Linked DNA regions of Drosophila melanogaster. The gene in region 2 interacts genetically with the main gene of each other region. Each region holds a gene or a part of one and is shown on either strand. Other genes may lie near its edges. The genes, in order: csw, Usp47 and Dcp-1.

Region 1 (6,736 bases), on a different chromosome or scaffold from region 2:
TTTACATGCACACACGAATATGTGCAGCGTATTCGTACACAATATCCGAATACATATACAAATCCCCCCCTCAGTGTTTTAGTCGTTTCGTTTGTCACAGGTTTATTTTGCTTTTCGTGTGGCAACGCACCTGGAAAGGCGGCAGCGAAACGACTGGTATTGGGGTTACGAGGTGGAGCGCGGAAGCAGGGGAACGAGGCCTTCAATTAATTAACTCAAAAGTCGGCAAGATACTTATTGAATTATCGAATGAGCTGCTTGCCCCTACCCTAACCGCCCACTCGCAAGCAGTGTGTGAAGTAGTAGTACAGTCTATTCAAAACATAATATTTTTTGAACAGTTCAAACTGTTAAAATAAGCATATAAACGATATGTCAAGTTGGAGAACTGGACGGGGAAAAGTACTAGTTGGGGAGAGTCTGGGATAGAATTGTAAAATTTCCATGGAGTTACAACCCCAGAACAAAGCCCTCCCCCCCATAATTGGGCCTTTCCACTGAGAGCATCTTGTAGTCGGCCGACGTTATGAATTTGCACAAATTAAACGCTTTTATTTGATCAGTAGCCACAGCTCACGGTTGTGCAACGGACAAATAAACGGAAATATGCAAAACAGAAGGCAGCGCTCGAAATCCATTACGGGAAATGTAATTTCATAAATCGTTAATCAGCCTTATGGCGAGAAGAAAAACCATCGGAAGGTTAATAGTTCTACAAGGCGGAGGGCAGAGGACGGCGGTGCCCCATTGTTGACCTAGTGAGTGTGACAAGTGAAATCCGGAAATCACGCAGCTTAAGCTGTCAAAGCTATTGGCACATCATCTTCAGATCATTTGGCATGATGTGCGTTTTAGGATAACGACGAAAAGATCGCCCTAAAGCAGGATACCTATAAAAGCTGAGCATAAATTAGAAAAACAAAGATCAAGTTAACGAGCCAATCAACACGTTCAGCGATTATGAATCCGTTGCGATAAAAATCAAAATAAATAAATAAGCAACAACCGAAACCGACTGCACTACCAATCCGAGCTCAACTAAAAGTCAAAGATAATTTATGGGACATAATAATAGTCCAGCAGATACATATGCGATTGTTTTCTGGGTGTACTGTGCGAATCGAGATCGCCAAGATGGGGCCAGCCCACACAAACAATCGGACGGCACATGGCACAGCCGGGCAGATAAACACCAAGATCAGACACGGAGTGGGATGGAATCTTTGGGGAATGTGGACGACGGACAGCGCAACAGCGGGACATGGGTAAACATTCCGGGCGCGAGTGAAGAGATAATTCCGATCTGGCAGTGGGCCAAGATACGATGTCTGCAGTGGGCAATTCGCCGAACTCTCCCGGTTCTACAAGTGCGTAATTTAGCCAGTGCCTAACCAATAACTCAATCTTCAGCTCTAAATGAAAGAACCAATATCGAAACACAACTTGACAACGGGCCAATTGTGTGGGGGGGGTTGATATGTTGATATGTGACCATATTTGAGTGGCGATCTGAGCTGGGCCCCCTGCCATTTGCCATTCCACTCCCTTCACTTCACTTCGGCATTTGACAGTCGGAAATTCATTCATATTAGAACGTCAATTTACGATTGCTTGTTTTCGAGTCGAATGCTTTGCGTAAATATTTACTCATTTTGCGTGGCAATTCTGAACACATGACAGTATGTGCTGCGCTGATTTTTTTTTTTTTTTGCTTTGTTGCGGCGTCAACTGCCTGTGATTGCCTGCCTTATTAGGGTTAATGTTGATGGGCAGCAGATTGTCTCCAGATTTCCCGCGAATCATCTGCTACTCCGCGACATGTGACTGACAGGCGGGGCGACATACTACGATGCGATGGTAGCTCAAAATACCATTTCACCTGCTACGGGGTATCGTTTAGTTGGCAGCCTGACAACTTCATTACTCGCACTCCAATAACAATTAGTGCCTAATTTCGCACGCGCCCCAAATTAGCAGAACGCTGCTCTTTTTCTAACACTCTGGACTGGACTGCTGTCGTTTTTTTTGGGCGACCTGAACTTACGTGTAACCATGGAGCTGGACGCGCATGGTGGCCAAGAGGGACAGTGTGCTGTTGGAGCAGCTGGCGCCGCCGAAGGCGGCTGGGAACTGGGGCGGTGTGGCTGTCCAGGAGGTGGGCGTGGCCGGGTAGGAAGCCTGCGGGCTGGGTGTAAGACGGTGCAGAGATTCCGTCGATGTGGAGGCGGAGGCAGCGGCGGAGGGTTGGGCGGAGAGAGGACGACGTCTGCGCTGCAGTCGGTTGTCTCGATTACGTTGCGCGTCAGCGCCCTTGGCCACGCCCTTTATGATCTGGGCCAGCTCGTCGTGGGTCATACAGTTCTTGCAGGCCGGCTCCTGGGCCTCGGGTGTCTCCGTTGGTGGGGTGACCTTTGCTTTCCGACCCTTGCTGGCCTTGAACTTGCCGCTCCTTTCGCGCTCCTCCGAGCGTCTTCCCTTGCTTCCGTAGTGCGCCTGTATGGCTCTTTCGTACTCAAAGTTTCGCTGATTGTTGTAGGCATTGTTGTTGTTTAGCGTATTGTTATTGTTATTGTTGATATTGTTGTTGTTGTAGACTTGTTTCTCTTGCAGCTTGTGATTGACCACATTGCCCAGCGAGCTGGACAACTTTTCCAGACATTTGTTGAACAGCATTTTCTTCACACTCGTTTTCTCGCACACACCAAAACAAAAAGAAGCTTAGATAGTAGTATTCCACTGCGGAAAAATGCGTCTCGGCTGGGGTGTTTTTTTATTATTTTTTTTTTATTTTGTTATTGTTTTTGTTTTATGTAACAACTTGCCCACACACACGAACACACACTGAAAGCACAAAAACTAGAATTCTTGGTTTTTGTTTTTTGCCGCTGTTTGTTGTGCTTCTCTGTTTGCTTTTTATTGATCTTAGTCAGCTCGATTAGGGGAAATGTCTACAGTTTGTCAAATAGAGTGCTGTTTACCCCGCATTCGTTTATTATTGCACAATCTTCTTGAGAGCCAGCAACAGCTTCTTTTCGTACGACTTGACATTGATGGCCTTGGCCACGGTGGTGCTGCTGCTGTTGATGGTGCTGGTGGGTTTGACCTCTGCTGGGGATGCGGCCTGCTCGTCGAGTCGCGATTGTGCCGCCATCAAATGCTCCAGGACAAATGTGGCTGAAGGCATAATTTTCGCGCTTTGCCTTCGAATAACAAAAACACTCGATGGAACTTGTACTGGCGCCCAGTAGAAATGAAACGAACTGCTTGCCGCTCGACGACGAACGGCGACTGCTTGCGAGCTGAGCTGCTAACCCGTTGGATCACAACTCGAGAATGAAGCGCCTGCTGCCGAGTCTGAAGCTTTTTGCCTCGGATTCGAAATCGCAATCGGAATCGAAATCGGATTCTTGACGTTGTCTCAGCGCGGCTCCTCTCTTTGCGATTCGATTCTTCCGCTCTCTCTTAGTGGCTATATCTCTCGGACGGGAGCTGTGGCCTGGTGGTGTTCTAAGCGCTGGGGTATGAATGAATCTGAATCTTGACTGGCTGCGGACGGCGCTTTTTGTTTTTAAATCCAGCCGGCGCTCTGGTTAGCCCTTCCTGTCGATCTCGTGGGTGGGTGTTTTTATTTATGGGCTTTATTTACTGTCAGCGAGCCAGAAGTCACAAACAAATACAAAAAAAAACACAGTAAATAAAACGGAGCGAAAGACGTAACTTTGAAATTGATTGGCAGTGGGTGTGTGCACAGCTTTCCCCTGGGCTCCTGTTTCAGTATCATCAAACTGCTTGGGCCCCTCAGCGGGCGCCACTTAATTGTAGCCATCCTGTGGACGCCACTTACGGTTTATTCAGAAAGCGAAAGCACTTTGAATTGCAATCAACATTGTAAAAAATTACACTTTTACTTTTCATTTACTTTCAATTAAGTGCTAGAGCCAGGCTAATACCTATAAATATGTATAGCGGGCTCCACTCTATGTTTATTTCGTAATGACTGTACTCCTGGATGAGTCATGGAGTTCATCGCAATCAGAATCCGAATCATACACATTTCGAAAAGCAGGCACATAAGATTAATTCCAATCCGAAAATGGTCATTTCGTGATATGAGTGTGTTGTTGGCTTGTAAGAAAGCAAATACAAAAAGCGCTTTTAGCGCCGTCCGTTGCCTGCCACCGGAAATGAAACTGAAGCCGCACAGCAACTACTGTGGCGGCCATCTAGGCAAGGAACTGGGTTTGCTGGGGGGCAGGTGGGTTGGTGGGCAGGTGGGCAGGTTGGTAGTTGGGTAAGTGGGAGCTAGAAGCGAGCAGTGCCAAAGCTCTCTTACAGCGCAGGCGCAGACGTCAGAGGTGCGAACGTGCGCAGAATATCTTTTTTTTTTTTTTGGCCAGCAAAACAAAATCGTTCGACGTGCGACAGCCTGCGAACTGCGATCTAGCAACACTTTACTTCCAGCCTCGTATTCATGCCTCCCAACGATGACGAACTATTTTTTTTTTTTCCAACATTTCGTCATTGTTTTTTCGCTGGAAACCAACTAGAACTTGTTACCCAAACCACATTCAAAATCCACTCAATGGAAATTGTCTCCGAAGTGTTCGATCAAAATTGAAAATGCTCAGCTCAAACCAGTCGGGGAAACCCCATGTAGCTATGCATGCATGCATCAATGCAAACAGGATGTTCCAGGCCAGGTGGACCAGATCCGTGGAAACCACATGGGGCTTCTGGGCGCAGTTAGGTGTCGGTTAAGAATATTAGTCATTGCAATGGCAAATGCAAGACGAGAAGTGCATTAAAAGTGAGTAGAGATGATTTGAGCTACCTGATTGCTATCGATACAGAATTAAGAGCGAGGCCAACATTGGCCATTCGCAAGTTTAAGTTCTTAGAAATGATCGGGTAACGCAATTTAGAAGTGGCATTGACCAATAGCCTACCCAACGTGTTTACATTACGTATGGAATTACTAAAAGTTCCGGCGAAGTAGTGAGTGCCGTGAGTGCCGCCCTACCCAGAAATAAACTTGATCGGTACCAGTTGCCAGAGCGACAGCCCAGTCCCAGTATCCCCAGTGCTCCATTCCTGAGCTCCGCGACCTTGGCTATCCCGATTTCGTTGCTGGAGACCCAGACCGCATTTGGGCACAGCCAAAACCATTCGTAGGTGCGATGGGGAGTGGGCCAGAAATAAACATAATTTATTGTTCAGTCGGAGGCGGGGGATGGTTAGTATGCTAGGCACACAGCTACATATGTGCCGACCACTGATTGTTCGCCACTCCGAATTGGGATTGAGATTGAGATTTGGTCTCGGGACCCAGGGATGGCAGCCAGCGGAGCCGAAGCCAAAGCCCAATCCGTAAGTGAAGCGTGCCGGACCGAATGCGCGGCGACAGCTCCTCGAAATGGGTTATTCAGTCGCCAAAAGCCAATAGCCGATAGCCAATAGCCAATTGGCAATCGCAAATCGATTGTGGGTCGCTGCGGGGACCACTGTACAGACGTGTTCGCACTAAATCAGCCAAAAACCAACAGAACTGTTTTGCGGCAAATGCCAGAGAGTATAGTTTATGGGCCATTATACCGGGCATTTGTGAGCTTGGTTATATGGTAAATTTTAAAATGAGTACTTTGCGACCCCACCCAGAAAGGGGTAAATCAAAAATAGACGGGAAGAGGCAATTAGGAGAACTACTTATATTATTTGTAAATAATTTACAAATCATAAATTCACCGCCGGTGGGCGTGGGCTGCATTTTTTTTTTTTTTTTTTTAGCTAAAACTCAGCTTGTTAACAAGAAATCATACTGTTTGCTGACAATGCAGGATTCGTGGCACCAACTCAAGCACCGAAATAATGTGTAAAAAGTTTTATAGGATTATTGCATCCTGCACAAACATGTTGCGTTTCCCAATCTCCAAGCCTAGAGAGACGAGCCCAGTTTTAGTTGTAGCCAGGTGGGCTTCCCCATAGCGGCCGAGATTTATGATACTGCTCGATTTTTGCCATGCTCCACCAGCCAAAAATATATACCGAGATTTACGATCAGTGTCGTAATTCATACTATTAGATGGAATGCTACGTGAGTGCTTCCATGTAACACTTTTTTGTAAGCAAATCAAACCTCCAGCTCCGCAAATAGCAGGGGACTCACGGCTGCTTAGTGGCGGCGTAAAAGTATTCCTTTTGGATTGGGTTGGAATATTTCGTTGGTTCGTTGGCCTGGCCCCCCACAACTTTGATTTTCGGTCCGTCGAATCAATCCCTCATCCCCATTTATTGACTCGAATCTTTCCTCGTTTTCTTTGTGGCTCATTGTTTTGGCGATGTTTTGGCGAGGGATTTACCTGAATATTTAATTGCGAGACGGACGCATTTGCGGTTCGTGCCGGTAGCTTTAAATTGTCGTGTGCTGGGCAGTTTAGGATACCAAATATAATGAGCGATCATCTCGATTGGCGTACATATACATACATACCATACATACGTGCGTTTTAAATTTAATTCACTTCGTGGGATTTACAAAGGGAAAGCACATCAAAAACTAGCCGTTGCTAGTGATAATGATAAAATGTAGTTGCGATTTGCATAACATCATTGGGTCAGGTGTGATGCGCTGGCCATGCAAATGACCAGTGCTCACAATCCAGTCTATGCAATCTATTTCGATTTATTTTCCAAAATCGATAATGAAGTTTACCCATAAATTGCATTGCACTGACTGCAG
Region 2 (6,736 bases):
TGCCACCACGTGAAATCTAGCAATTTCTATAATGCTTGCAACCCACTGACCCAGAAACGACACTTGATGTGTGTATAAGTAATTTTATTGTTTATAACATAATAGAATTGGTACTAAAACGTACTATGTCCTTACGGCGTATAAATCTATAAGTGTTCTACTAACTGATGTAACCTCCCCGTGTTGGAATGCCGAAAATGTGCTTTGCTTGAAAAATGGTTAGTTACTTTAAATTTATAATACCTCATTTATTTAATATTTTGTTTTGGGATTATTATGTATAAGATGTTGAGGCACCGATTCATGTGGCGGTAAACAAAACAACTTATGGAATTTGTGTAATGCTAAATAGCTAATAATCGATCAGTCTCCAACACGAAACGGGCTACACGGGCTGCTTTATGTGTGTGTGTGTGTGTGTGTTGTTCTCTTTCCTAATCCTATCCAGCGCTTGCATCCTCGGCCAATATCTACAGCTCTTCGCTTGGCACACTCACTAGCTTAGGGCTACAATTGGTTAGGCTAAGTTGTCTTACGAGTACGTACGGTAAATTAAATATAGGCCTTAACTAAAGTGATAACAATTATATGCGTGTGTGTGTGTGTGTGTGTGGCTGGCACAGCTCTAGCCTAGTTGGGCAGCAGCTCGGACAGCTGATTCTGCAGACTGGGTGCCAGTGTGTCGGGAAACTTAATGTCGAAGGAGACGATCAGATCGCCGCGCCTCGATGGCTCCTTGGGCACCGGCAGACCCAGTCCGTTGATCCGGCGCGTTGTGGTGGGCTTGATGATCTCGTGGTTCGGATTCACCTGTATCCTGCTGCCCTGCAGCGTGGGCACACTAACCAGTGCTCCGCACAAGGCCTGCTTCAGACTGATCTGGGCTGTATACTTTAGATCGATTCCCTCGCGTTTGAACAGCGAATGCGGTTTGTCGCGAATGATGAAGACGATGTCAGCTGGCGTCTTGTTTGGCGCCGAATCACCCTCTTGGGGGAAGGTAATCTTGGTACCGGCCTTCCAGCCCGGCTTCACTGTGATCCTCAGCACCTTCTCCTCCTTGTACGGCCCATTGCTTCCGGTGGCCATGCGTGAGATTTTCATCTTCTTGATGCATCCCTTGTCCACTTCCTCCAGCGACACGAACAGATCATGCTCGATGGGCGGATCCTGCTGGCGCTTGCGACTGGGTGCCTGGGCATTAAAGGCAAACATATCGTCGCCGCCAATGTTCCAGAAGATCTCGTTGGTATTGCCGCCCTGACCGCCACTAAACATGTTATCGCCGCCGGTAAAGAACGCGCCAAACGGATCCGACGATCCAAAGAACTGGGCAAATGTGGCCCTCGGATCGCCGTGGAACTGGTAAGTGTACGCTCCCGGCTGACCGCCGCCATCTGGTCCCGGCTGTCCGCCCTTCAATCCATCCTCACCGTAATTGTCGAAGATGTCGCGCTTCTTTTTGTCCGACAGCACCTCGTACGCCTCGGCGATCTCCTTGAAGCGCTCCTCCGCCTGTGGGCTCTTGTTCTTGTCGGGATGGTATTTGAGTGCCAGTTTGCGGTAGGCCTTCTTGATCTCATCGTCGCTGGCCTTGCGCTCGAGGCCCAGAATCTTGTAGAAGTCTTTGCCCATCTCTCAGCTGAAAATATAGGGGAAACACAAACGAACGAACGCTATAGATTAGAATGAATACTGATTGCCAGCTTGCTGGGTTGGGGCGATGGAAAGTGCTAGAAGCACAGAACAGCACAGTTGTGCAACTGCCGTGTTGTCACGCGAGTGACGTATGTAGTCACCATCAACGAGAGCTCCGCTCCCGATGTGCTTCTTTCAGCAGATCAAATCGATGCGCCCACATGTGGCAATATGTCCAACGAAGCTTACCTTAAATGTAAGCGATTGTCTGGGAATCCGTAAAAGTTCAAAAATCCAAGTGGAAAAGTGCAAAATGCAATGGCAAAGTGCAATTGTTGGTATTGTTCACTGTGTATTCACACTATTTATATTTTCACGGGGCAATGTTCTTTAAATATTTATGAGTTTTGTCTCTTTCTCGCAATTGATTCAATTCAATTGTTCTTCTTCGCTTTTTTCTTTATCCACCAAATGTGGCTTGCGCACTAAAAACACACCCTACTTCAGAGTTTCTTTCTCTTCAAAATTTTGTTTAATAATGAGCGGGATTCGTGCGTCAACCTCATTTTATAGGTTCGCCCTCGTCTACGTCGAAATTTCTGGATGCTTCTCGGATTTTAGGGTTGTATCTCGAAAACGTTTGACTGCGAATGTCAATATCGATATGCTAACCGATAGCTGTCGATGTTTTAAACACAGTGCACTGTTTTTAAATCGCTCCCCATTTATATATATTTGTGCATGCTTTTGGCGGTGACTCTTCTTTATATGCTTCTTATGCTTTTACGATTATTATTAGCGCTTATTTGATTGCAAATGCCAAGGAAAGCGTGACTGTGATGGCGAAATGCGGAAAGTACTCCTTAAATCTCATATATCGCATAAAACTATCGGTTCTGGAATGTTTCGTGTAAGTCTGCGAAGATAGAGATCGATCTATTTTGAGGATACATTTGTTAATATTATAAGGGATTCTTCTACAGGGGTCAGATTGCTTAAAAACACACAGAAAAATAAACAAAATATTTCTTTGAAATATTGAAATATTTGAAATAGAAAAAACGTATTGACGAGGTAAGCATATTGTAAAAAGATAGGAAGGTGATGGAGAAAGTTGCACTTATATTGTTCAACCAAAGAGCTTATAATCAAAAGATCAATAGATATAAATATCTTTATATGATATAAAATATAATACATATAATATATTATAATATACAATGTATAAATTGCAAGTGTCAAATTGAATTCTTAGTGTAATATTCAAGCCAACGAAAAGTAACTGAAAGTTGAAATAAATAAATTTTTAAACTTTGCCAGTGTGACCGTAAGACCAAGACTTGGGCATTGCCACAGCTGCAATGCGTTTAGTATTTTACAGTCAGCGGCGGGCAGTCACACCGGAACGAGCACGTCTGGTAAAACAGCCGAACGGAACAACAAAAAACAATTGTAAAAATGACCCGTCGAGGCTCGTTTTAAGCGAATTTCTAGCGCAGTCAGGACGCAGGAGCAGCCGAGCAGGCCGGGATTAGGACCGGAGGAGCAGGATCATCGGGAGAGTAGAGCCGAAACCCACACTCACACACAAACGCAGCCGTATACCGCAGTATTTTCATACACACACACACACTTGAGGTGAGTGAGACGGAGGTACACACACATGCACACATACAGAGAGAAGAAAACAAGGCGCCCCACGAATTTTTGCAAAATATGGACGCGCCTTGCTAGGGACTAATTGCCAGCGCGAAGGACAACCATTGGGGCCACTTTTTGGGCCAAACTCCGGCCGACATATGCGTGTCACGTTCCACAGTCGAAGCCTTGACCGATCGCCCCGCCCACCGTTCACCGCCCCATCGCTGGAAGTATTGCGCAAACGAATGTGACCCTTAACCCTTGCCCCCCCCCCCCCTTCCACAAAGAATATCCTTTGGCATGGCGCCTGTTCAAAGGATGTCCCACTGCAGCAATGCAGCATTGTAGCAGCGACGGCAGACCCATAAAAATAGTCATTCATTCCCGCAAATAGAGAGCTGGCACATCGAAGAGAGCATACGGTCGACATTAATAGCACTTTCGCTGTAAACCCAAACATATCGCCTATATTCATTGAGTAATCCGTCTGGGTTCTAGGGACCCAAAAGTTCCCCCCAGTGAAATACCCACCCACTGCATTGTGCGGCGATAATCGTTATCAGTTGCAACTCGTGAGTGGTCATTGATATTCGCAAAAGGCAACTGGACAATGTTTGATTGTTATCAGACCCCTGATTGTAACCCAGTCAATAGCTTACATTACTCCCCATTATCCTGTTATTTGTTTAAAACAAGTGGCTTGGGTACTGTTGCAATCCGTGTATCTGTATTCATGTTCTTATCGCACCCCGAAGTTATAGAAGCTATATAAAAGTATTGTTTTCCTATTGAAGTGTAAGCCAGATAAGTAAACTGTTTCTCATTGTTATAGTACATCACGCCGAGAACTTAACACGTAGCTCGCTTCGCCAAAGATCGGGCGCCAGATCGGGTGGTGTATCTTCGGATCGCAATCGGAATCGGCATCGGCATCCTAAGCGGCCAGTACACGCGTGAACTATGCCGTGCGTTGACGGTGCGGTCTTCTAGTTCGGAAAGATTTCGGCACACTCAGTTCCGACACAGACGGTAAAACTCACCAAAATCCGTTGCATATATAGACCACGGATATATACACACTTATTCACACAACATTGGAAGCTCCAATTAAAGTTGTGCGACGCCTAAGAATAGAAAGCATTTCGTAATGGAGATTTTCTGTTCGAGAATGCATTATATGATCGGGAATCGAGAATCCTACAATTTCCGGCACTCAGCAGTCATATCTCAGACATCTCATGGTTTTTGTAGATCACATAGATTTCGCAGTACCGAAATAGTTCAAAAATAGCACAAATATATGCGAGCATGACTGTTGCCCCTCCCGCCGTCCCCCCATTGGATCGTGTATATGGCATAGATAACTCGCGATATCGGTTTCTGTAATACCCGACCAACACAAACATTGACCAAAAGATCATCGTCATCATGTAAATATTGAGTGGGATGGATGGGGCCAATGTGTTGAAAGTGCCTGACCATTCTGATGTATAGGATAGACGTATTCGAACAGTCTGTGCGCTTCTCTGAATTTCTCAAAAACCTTCGCATTCACAAATAGCCAGATATACGCGTATTCAAGACGCTCCCAAAGCTGTCTTATATCTTGCTCCTCCACTCGCCTGTGTGCTTTTTCCGACCGCTCCGATGTGTCGTTGTGTCGCCGCCGCCAGTTTTTATTTTTAGCAGCATGGGTTTCTTATTTTGATTTTGTGCTGGCCGACGTGTATTAGCATTTTTGGATCCCCATCTCACTCGCTCCCTTGCCGGGCAATGCGGTTTGTGTTTGGACCATCCAACATGTGTTTGAACGCCCAATTGCAGCGCATTCACATCGCACATCGTGGATGTGCATCCTCCATTCGGAGGAGACCCAAAATATCTTGGCTGACTGGCTGTCTTTTTTGTGGTTATTTCGGTGCAGAGAATTGGAAAAACATTGCAAATACCCCGGCCCCAATTGCTTGCGACACTCAATTAAATGCTGAGCAGTACGAATCACTAAAGATTATTGCCAAAATAGACATTCGAAAAGTATAATTTTAGATACAATTAATTGACAGGCGAATCGATGATATTTTTGACTGCATATTATAGAGTAGTTCAATCGCTTTTCGCCTAATATTCAGCATCTGCTTTCCTTAAATCTTTCGAATTCTACAAATGTTTCTAGAATAATTCGCAGTGTTCACGCTGATGTCCGATAAGTATTAATTTGTACATATGGATATGTCCACCGTCCACTTGCAATATGCGCACTGCCGAATTGAAGGCGCCAGATATTCGTTCGTATAATAGCCACCACTTCCGTTACAGAGTCTTGCGGGGAGCCACAAAGGAAGCCAGCTGAAACATGGAGCGACATTTGCACTGAAATTTATGCATTCGGTACGCCCGATGGTGATAGCTATGGTCATGATGATGATGATGACGTTGGTAGTCCATTGGAGGCAAATAATAATTCCCGTAGCATCCTCCGGAGGCAACTCTGATGGCCGGTTGTTTACGAAATTCCCCTGCGCGTTAGTCACGACGTCGATTTCGGGGGGCAGTCGATGCTCGATTGGGTGTACGTGCTATATGTGTATATCTATCTATATATATATATATATATGTATACGGCAACTGGTGCTGGCCCGTACAAATAAGGCGCGAAAAGCAAACCCGGAGCACGTCAATATCTGCGGCTGCGGGAGGTGGGACGGAATCTTCTTGGTTTCTGCCGCTTTATTCGCGAATGGGGTCGAAAACAAGAAGATTTCGCAGTAATTTGGGGCTGGGCATCTCTTCCTTATTTACTATGGGCCAAGAAGCATCGTCATGTCCAGGAACTTGGCCCCGCCGAAAACGTCAAAGGTGTCGTGTCACCTTTTTAATTCTAAAATAAAGAAATAAAAAAAAATAAAAAGAAAACTCCAGACAAAATTCATAAGTAAAGCCAACGTTTCGCCTACAATCTTTTTGCAGGGTTTTCTCCACCATCACTTGATTATTCCGCGGGCTGGACATGACGGACAAGGAGAGCGAGCAGTGCACCGTCTCGGTCTTTGACCAGACACCCGGCTCGGAGCAAAAGAAGATCAACGTAGTGGTCCGCTCCCACTTCACGGTGAAACGCGTGATTGACCTTATTGGCACGCAGTTCTCGTACGAAAAGTTCGAGCTGTTGCTGCAGCCACACGATAACAAGGATCTGGTAAAAATATCTGCACATCTTGAGGTTCTAATAAACCGCTAATTGAATTCCCCTTTACTTTAGGTCAATCTGAATGCCCTGGAATCTCAGCTGATGTACGAAGTGGCTGGTTTTGAGCCCCAGCTGAAGAATCACTTGATCCTGCTGCCCTCCGGCAGTTGGGATGGTGACGTGACCAAACGCTTTGAGTTACCCATTAAAAGAGTGGTAGTCAAAAAGGTTATGAAGTCGGACGGCGAGAAGGCCAAGAGTCCTGCCACC
Region 3 (6,736 bases), on a different chromosome or scaffold from region 2:
TCGATTTTCGAGGAGAATCCGCGGGTGAAAACAACCGCCAATCTGCCGCTGCAGATTATGGCCATCACGGCGATCGAGGTAAGCGGCTCCATCCATGGGTTCTGGCTTGCACTAACCAGCGCCACGCATAACTTGGCTAAGAAGCCGCATCGCGGGTTTCCGCATCGACTGCGAGGCGTCTTGGCTAAGTTTCCCCGCTCCAAACTGCCCCGCTTCCCTTTCCCAGCCGAATGTCCTTGAAAAGTGCGACCAGGTTACAGCCCAATTAGTTGGCTAATCATTGGGCTTTCCCTTTTTCCTCTTGTGCAAAGAAAAATGAAAATTTCTGCGATTTGGGGCAACTGTACTGCGCCACACGCACACTAGTGCGTCAACAGCTGATCGCCCTGACAGCTGTCAGTTGTTTTTGGCGCTAAATTCAAATCGAGATCATATTTAAATGCATTAATAGTTCCTTCGATACTTATATTTACGCAAAAATCATCATTTGGTTAATTTTATTAATTTCCTAAATTATAAAATTAGGAAATAAATATAAAATTTAGGAAATTAATAAAATTAGAGTGAGAAAAATCTTAATTAATCACTCTTAATAATGCTAATTTGAATTCCACTAAAGTTTCGTACAATTTCACTGATTCAGCCAACCAAGTCTTCATTGTTATCTTTTATTTCCCATATCAACGTACTCAATCTGGCCCAGACAGCTCCTGTCTTCAAACAAAGTTGCTTAGATCGAAATTACCCATCTACGTTCAATTGGGGAGATACCTTGCTATGTTTTTAATTCATTTTTATTCATATCAAATATAAATGTTTGCGTGTACATAAAAGTATGTATGTATGTATAAATCTTCATTGTATTATCTTATCTCAAATTTGTGGGTTTTCTATTGGCAAGGTCTCGCTTATGCATACGGAAGTCATCTAGTGGGTAAATGGGTAACGAATTTCGTCAATGATAAGGCCGAAATGGGCATGGGAAAGGCAGGGGAATGAATGAAAGGGAGTCGGGTGCTTCAATATCCATCGGGATAATCGCACGCGTCAGCTAAAACTAAACTTGAAGTGAATTGGAATCCAACGTGAATGATTGCGGGCGATGGTTGTACAACCTCTGTTGAAAGTTCTTCTTCGAAGGGAGATCTCTTCCTAGCCAGCCTTATTGCCGTTCGGCTTGTCGCCGAAGCGCAGTATGCGCGTCAGCATGGAGGTGAGGCACGGTATTTGCTTCTGGCGATCCATCATCGGTGTGGCGGGCACGTTCGACTCAAAGTCTAGGGCTACGCGCTGGTTAACGAATGTAAGCAGGGTGAGCAGGTCGTACTTTTTGCCATTGGCGTTCAGCTCGCGGATCAGCGATTGCATGTACCAGGAGCCATTGTTGATGTTGCGCCAGGAGAAGTAGCCTAACAGGACGAGATTGCTAGTGAAATTCACTAAAATAGTTACCTAATCATATTCCTTACCCGGAATGGTCGAGTAGGAGAAGAGAAAGTCGGCGTGTATGGGTATCTTGTAGCTCGTCGAGGACTCCCCGTCCGTCTCGGTAACGCCCTTCTCCAGAGTGATGCCTCCGTCCAAGCGATCGCCCTGGCAGGCTTGGATGAAGAACAGCTTCGGCTTGCCCGCCAGCGAGGGGCAGAAGGTGGCAGTGAAGTAGTGCCAGATGTTGTCCAGCTTGTACTGCGTATCCTTGGCGTACAGGTAGCCGTGCTCCCCGTGCGAGAGTATGGCCACCGCAAGGCAGTCGTTGTCCGTGTGGTCCAACTCGGCGGCCTTCCCCACGTGCTTCAGGATGTCCCTCAACTTGCAGTCCTTGTGCACGGACACCGCGAATCCCAGGTTTTCAAAGGCCTTTTTCAGCTCTTGGGCATCGACATTTGTTCCGGTGCGGCTCTTCAGCGAGGGTATGTCGAAGAATTCGTGGTTGAAGATCAGCGCAACTCCGCGGTGCTTGTGACTCATGTTGTATTCGCTTGCATATCGTTCCACGGGCATTCGAGCCACAAACTTGTTGGCCGGCAAGGGGCTGGGGAAAAAGAAATCAGAATTATAATAGCCATTTGGGAAGCAGCATGATAAGATAAGGTAATCGGCGAAATAATCGATGATTGGGTATTTATTTATGTAATTATTTTCAAATATATTTGTGAATAAGACTAAATAGAACAATAGAATTAAAGTCAAGTGCTTTCAAACTTTGTGACTTCAGCCATTTTAACAACATTATAAAGACAGATTGACACATTGATTTTAAATGTTGGCAATAGACAGTATAAATAATATAAAAATAATAGATTGTGGAATGAAAATGGAATAAATAAAAAAAAAAGAGCTTTATATGCTGCATTTGAAACTAGGATATAGCAGTTATGCCAGTACTTGCATTGATAACAAAACACAGAAACATAAAGAGAGAGATGGGAGAGGGAGAGAGCGAGGCACATGGACTCACCTCGCTGCAGTTGCACCACCAACAACAAGAGACTCCGGCGTACAGCCCTTGGCATCGGTATTATCAGCCATTATAAAGCTGCCCCGATTTTCCGATCCATTTGGGCTGCGAATGCCTACTCCGTAGTTTCTGGTTACGCACTCGTCGGTCATCTTGCGCCCCTTTTCTTGCTTAAGTTCTTGTTTTGATTGTTTGCGTTTCTCCTTGTGTTTCCTCTTGCCTTTTGTTCGCTCCCTCCTGCTCCTCCCTCGCTCACGCGCTGCTCTTTCCTTCCTTTTCTCTCTCCGCAGTTGTTGCGCCCTTTTTGGTCTGATTCTTGTTTTATTCTGACACTGCTTCTGTTTTCTATTGCTCTGCGTTGGCCAAACTTTGCGCAGCGCAGCTGTTTTGCGCTTCTCAGCCAGCTTTTGTCGGCTTTCGATCGAGCGAATGTCCTTTTATGGCTCACAGTCGGACGTGTTTAATCAATCAATTAACGGAGGTTAAGCGTGCTCTGAGCGGCGAAAACAAACTGCGATTGCATGTAGTCGTGTGTATGCACTTGCCGCCAAGCGGCGATGGCCGCTCGTCGATAGCACTAATCATCGATTGGTGGCCATCGATTAATTTGTAGAGGGTGTTCTGGTCCTCGGCGCCTTTGTTTAAATTTAAACTCTAACATTATATTGTTCATTTTAAGGGAAAGAGACATTTATGGCGTTTAATTTATTATGTAGCGAAAAACATATAGGGGTGTTCCACGAATATTACCTTATTATTTGGCTTAAGCACGGACTTCCCCGAATAAATGTAGCTTCCTAGTCACTCACACATTTATCTAATCTAACATTAAAAACAGGTCTACGCCGGCGACGGAATGCCGGGGCACATCTGTCTGGAGTGCCGCCTCCTCTTCGAGCACTGCTACCGCTTCAAGCAGATGTGCAAGCGGGCGGAGACCCTCCTGCGCCAGTATCCGCTCACGGGTAACTGGCCATCGCCGCTGGAGAAGCCCCGTGCGCCCATGACGATGGTGGCTTCCAAGAAGTTGTTGGTCGTGCCAGCAAAGACAGCCGAGCCAAGCGAAACGCCCAAAAAGCTGCTGAACACAATGGCCAAATCCAGTAGTCAGGTGATCATCGAGGACGTCCAGGTGCTGGAGAGCGCCATGGTGACCCCCAGGACGGTAGCCGGTTCCTCTCCAGTGCCACGTCGTTCGCACGCCTATGAGCTGAAGGTGGATAACAACCAGGAGCTGTCCATGGACGATGTGCAGAGCATGCTGGAGGATATGGCCAGTGAGCTAGAGAAGGAGTTCCCCGATATCCCCCAGAAGGCATCACCCGTCAAGCCGAAGGTGCTGAACAAGTCCTCGATTAGGATCTTGAACAAGGGACCCGCCGCTCCGGTGGAACCGCGCCTGGCCACACCCAAAGTCAAGCGAGATGATAGTGGCAATGTGGCCATAGTGACAGAGGTTCTGGACTCGGATCTGCCATTGGACGATCAAGATGATCCGACCAAGAACGCCGAGAAGGTGGCCACCGATGTGTTCCCCTGTCCCGATTGCGAACGCTCCTTTCCGCTGCAGCAGCTGCTCGAGATCCATCGGCTGAATCACACTCGCTCGCGCAGCTTCCAGTGTCTCCTGTGCGAGAAGAGCTTCTTCTCCAAGTACGACCTGGCCAAGCACAACTTTGTGCACACCGGCGAGCGGCCATTCAAGTGCGCCATCTGCTCGAAAGCCTTCACACGGAAGGCATTGCTCCATCGCCACGAGCGCACCCACACGGACGTACCCAAGTTCATCTGCGTGTACTGCGAGAAGCCCTTCCTTTCGCGCCAGGAGATGGAGAAGCACGCCGAGCGACATCAGAAGAAGCGTCCGTTCCAATGCGGTGTCTGCACCAAGTCGTTTGCCTTCAAGCAGGGATTGGAGCGTCATGAGGTGGGTTGACAAGCATATTTGGGATTGCCCCGGCTAACGATTATGTCCACTTTCAGACAGTCCACTCCACCAATCTTCCCTTCCCCTGTCAGCATTGCGAGAGAAGCTTTTCCACCGCTTCCAAGCTGGCCCGCCACCTGGTTGCCCACGCCGGGAAGAGAGCCTATCCCTGCAAGTACTGCCACAAGTCCTACATGCTGTCGCATCATCTCTCGCGCCACCTGCGCACGCACACGCAGACTTCCGACGCCTCGTTCGTGTGCAGTGAGTGCAAGGTGTCGTACAGCAACTATAACGACCTACTGGATCATGCGCTCATTCATGCCACCGCCAGCCTGAAATGTCCCATGTGTCGCAAGCAGATCGAAGATATCGACAGTGTCGAGAGCCACATGGACCAGCACAAGCAGAGCGAGCGCCATGCCTGCGAGTTCTGTGACCACATCTTCTTGACGCAGAAATGCCTGCAGCGCCACATCGAGGACGATCATGTGGTGGAAATGGAGCCGTACCAGAACGAGTTCGAAGACGACGGCGAAGGAGAAGGCGGCGTCGATGAGAAGGAGGAACATCTTGACGATTTTGAAGACATGGACAATGTGAAGCAGGAAGAATTCGTGACGGAATACTTAGAAGACGATGCTCTCTATGAGGACCACCTAGACGATAGCGACGAATCCTTCACGCCGCCGCCTCCAAAGCAGCGTAAAACCAATCCTCCCAAGGATGCCCAGCAATCCGTGCGCCAAACTCGCAGTCGGGATGCTCAAAGAATCACTCAGAAGACAGGAAAGAACGAAGGCAAGCCTCATCACAAACTGGAACGCAACCTTAAGAATCGCCGATCCGCAAAATAATGATAGTAGTTGAATATATTGCATGCGAAAAGTGCATCCGTGCTTATGCTTAAATTTAAATTCTATTTAATTGTAACTTTTAATTTTTCCTTTAACCGAAGGCCTTTTAAATAAACTCCTCACCAGAATTCCGCTGTCGCTCATTGAAATGGTCTTTATGGGATCTCTCCTCGCTCTAATTTGATCTTTATTGAAGCGCCAACTGGAGTTTGGGTATATGTGTTTTCTGTGTATTTCCGCGTAAAGTTCAGTTTACATTAACGTCTATCACTACCAAACAACGAATACATCCCGCAGAGGGAACCGGAGACGGTGGCCACCTAGTGCTCGTAGCCGTCGGGCAGGGCGTTAACGTGGGGGTTGTGGAACAGGCTCTTCTGGCCCTCACCCCAGGGGAAGCGCTTCTCGCGGCGGCGCAGGTAGTCGTACTTGACGAACTCCTGGCGGGGCTTGTCGTGCTCCTCCTGGTGCTTCAGGTAGGCGTTCAGCATGCACAGTCCCACGGCGGGCACGGCCACGAAGAAGGACAGGCGCTTCCACACCTTGTAGCCACCTGAAGGATGAGAGATGAGATGAGCATGAAAGGATGTGTTATAAGAGCGAATCCTTCTCCACCAATCGATCTTGCCCAATGGTAAATTACATAACCTTAACCTTACAAAAGGGGATGAATTTGGCAATTGGGACGCTGGACGGTCACTTACCAGAGTGCTCGCCGGCCACGGCGGCGGTGCCGGACATATTCCGGGCGGCAGAAGCGCCGAATTGGCGGCGAATTGCGTGGTTTAGAATAGCGGACATATTTTCAGTCGATTCTTGGCCCGAATGAAAATTTGCTGTTTTGACAAGTAAATAGGGATGGGCTACATCCATAATGTCGTGACTCGTTCGCTAAATTATATCGATAGTGGTTGGCCGTGATTTCTAAATTACGTACAACAAAGCTGTTAATTGGCTTAATATAAATAAAAAACAAAATAAAACAATTCTATGCCAAATTGTAAATAAGTAATTTGACATTTTTCCTTTGTATCCTCCCCTGGCTGCCGTGACACAGCTCTAGCTAATCGAGAAGTTATCGCCTCACGCGCCCACCGCTGACGATAGGTAGGTACTGTGTGTGCGGACTATCGAGGCTGGAGTCGGCTACCAATCGTCCATCCACAACAACAACGTGTCGCGTAATTATTTTCCCCTCTTGTTTATAAAATTCAGTGCATCAGATTGTAAATACACTGCACACCCTGCAAAGCCACCGCAGCATCTCGAACCTAAGCAACGAACGGGAAAATCATTATCGTACGGGCAGTGAAGCGCAGTTAACCAGGAGCAACAACCAATCCAAGTACAAAGTAGCCACAAAACGTCAGTTATTCACTAAGTGCACAGTTCGCCAGCGGACATAACGGTCGCTACACTCGGAGAAAACCACAAGTATTAAGGACCACACAGTCCACCAATCCACTAGCAGCCCACTGCCATGGCCGCCAACAA

Evidence for each region.
Region 1: of Usp47 (region 2) and csw, changing one enhances a phenotype caused by changing the other (phenotypic enhancement), as found in Drosophila melanogaster (one study listed by BioGRID).
Region 3: of Usp47 (region 2) and Dcp-1, changing one suppresses a phenotype caused by changing the other (phenotypic suppression), as found in Drosophila melanogaster (one study listed by BioGRID).

What each region holds. Positions count from the first base shown.
Region 1 is NC_004354.4:2,099,084-2,105,819, reverse strand, and holds the start of csw (corkscrew), read right to left. Parts: upstream 3,532-6,736; 5' UTR 2,674-3,531; coding exon 2,045-2,673; intron 1-2,044. UniProt on the Drosophila melanogaster protein: Required in all receptor tyrosine kinase signaling pathways. Functions downstream of the receptor tyrosine kinase torso, acting in concert with D-Raf via tailless.
Region 2 is NT_037436.4:5,749,959-5,756,694, forward strand, and holds the start of Usp47 (ubiquitin specific protease 47), read left to right. Parts: upstream 1-3,014; 5' UTR 3,015-3,276; intron 3,277-4,219; exon of another isoform or gene 4,220-4,308; intron 4,309-5,595; exon of another isoform or gene 5,596-5,667; intron 5,668-6,246; 5' UTR 6,247-6,286; coding exon 6,287-6,475; intron 6,476-6,538; coding exon 6,539-6,736. Other genes in the region: DnaJ-1 (DnaJ-like-1), read right to left, coding at 631-1,635. UniProt on the Drosophila melanogaster protein: Ubiquitin-specific protease that deubiquitinates target proteins to regulate different cellular and developmental pathways. Functions downstream of Dsor1/MEK to positively regulate the Ras/MAPK signaling pathway.
Region 3 is NT_033778.4:23,547,597-23,554,332, reverse strand, and holds Dcp-1 (death caspase-1), read right to left. Parts: upstream 3,021-6,736; 5' UTR 2,611-3,020; coding exon 2,459-2,610; intron 2,033-2,458; coding exon 1,470-2,032; intron 1,410-1,469; coding exon 1,153-1,409; 3' UTR 786-1,152; downstream 1-785. Other genes in the region: pita, read left to right, coding at 1-78, 3,297-4,385, 4,442-5,242; levy, read right to left, coding at 5,563-5,795, 5,947-6,043; wmd (wing morphogenesis defect), read left to right, coding at 6,723-6,736. UniProt on the Drosophila melanogaster protein: Involved in the activation cascade of caspases responsible for apoptosis execution. Proteolytically cleaves poly(ADP-ribose) polymerase (PARP). Loss of zygotic DCP-1 function causes larval lethality and melanotic tumors.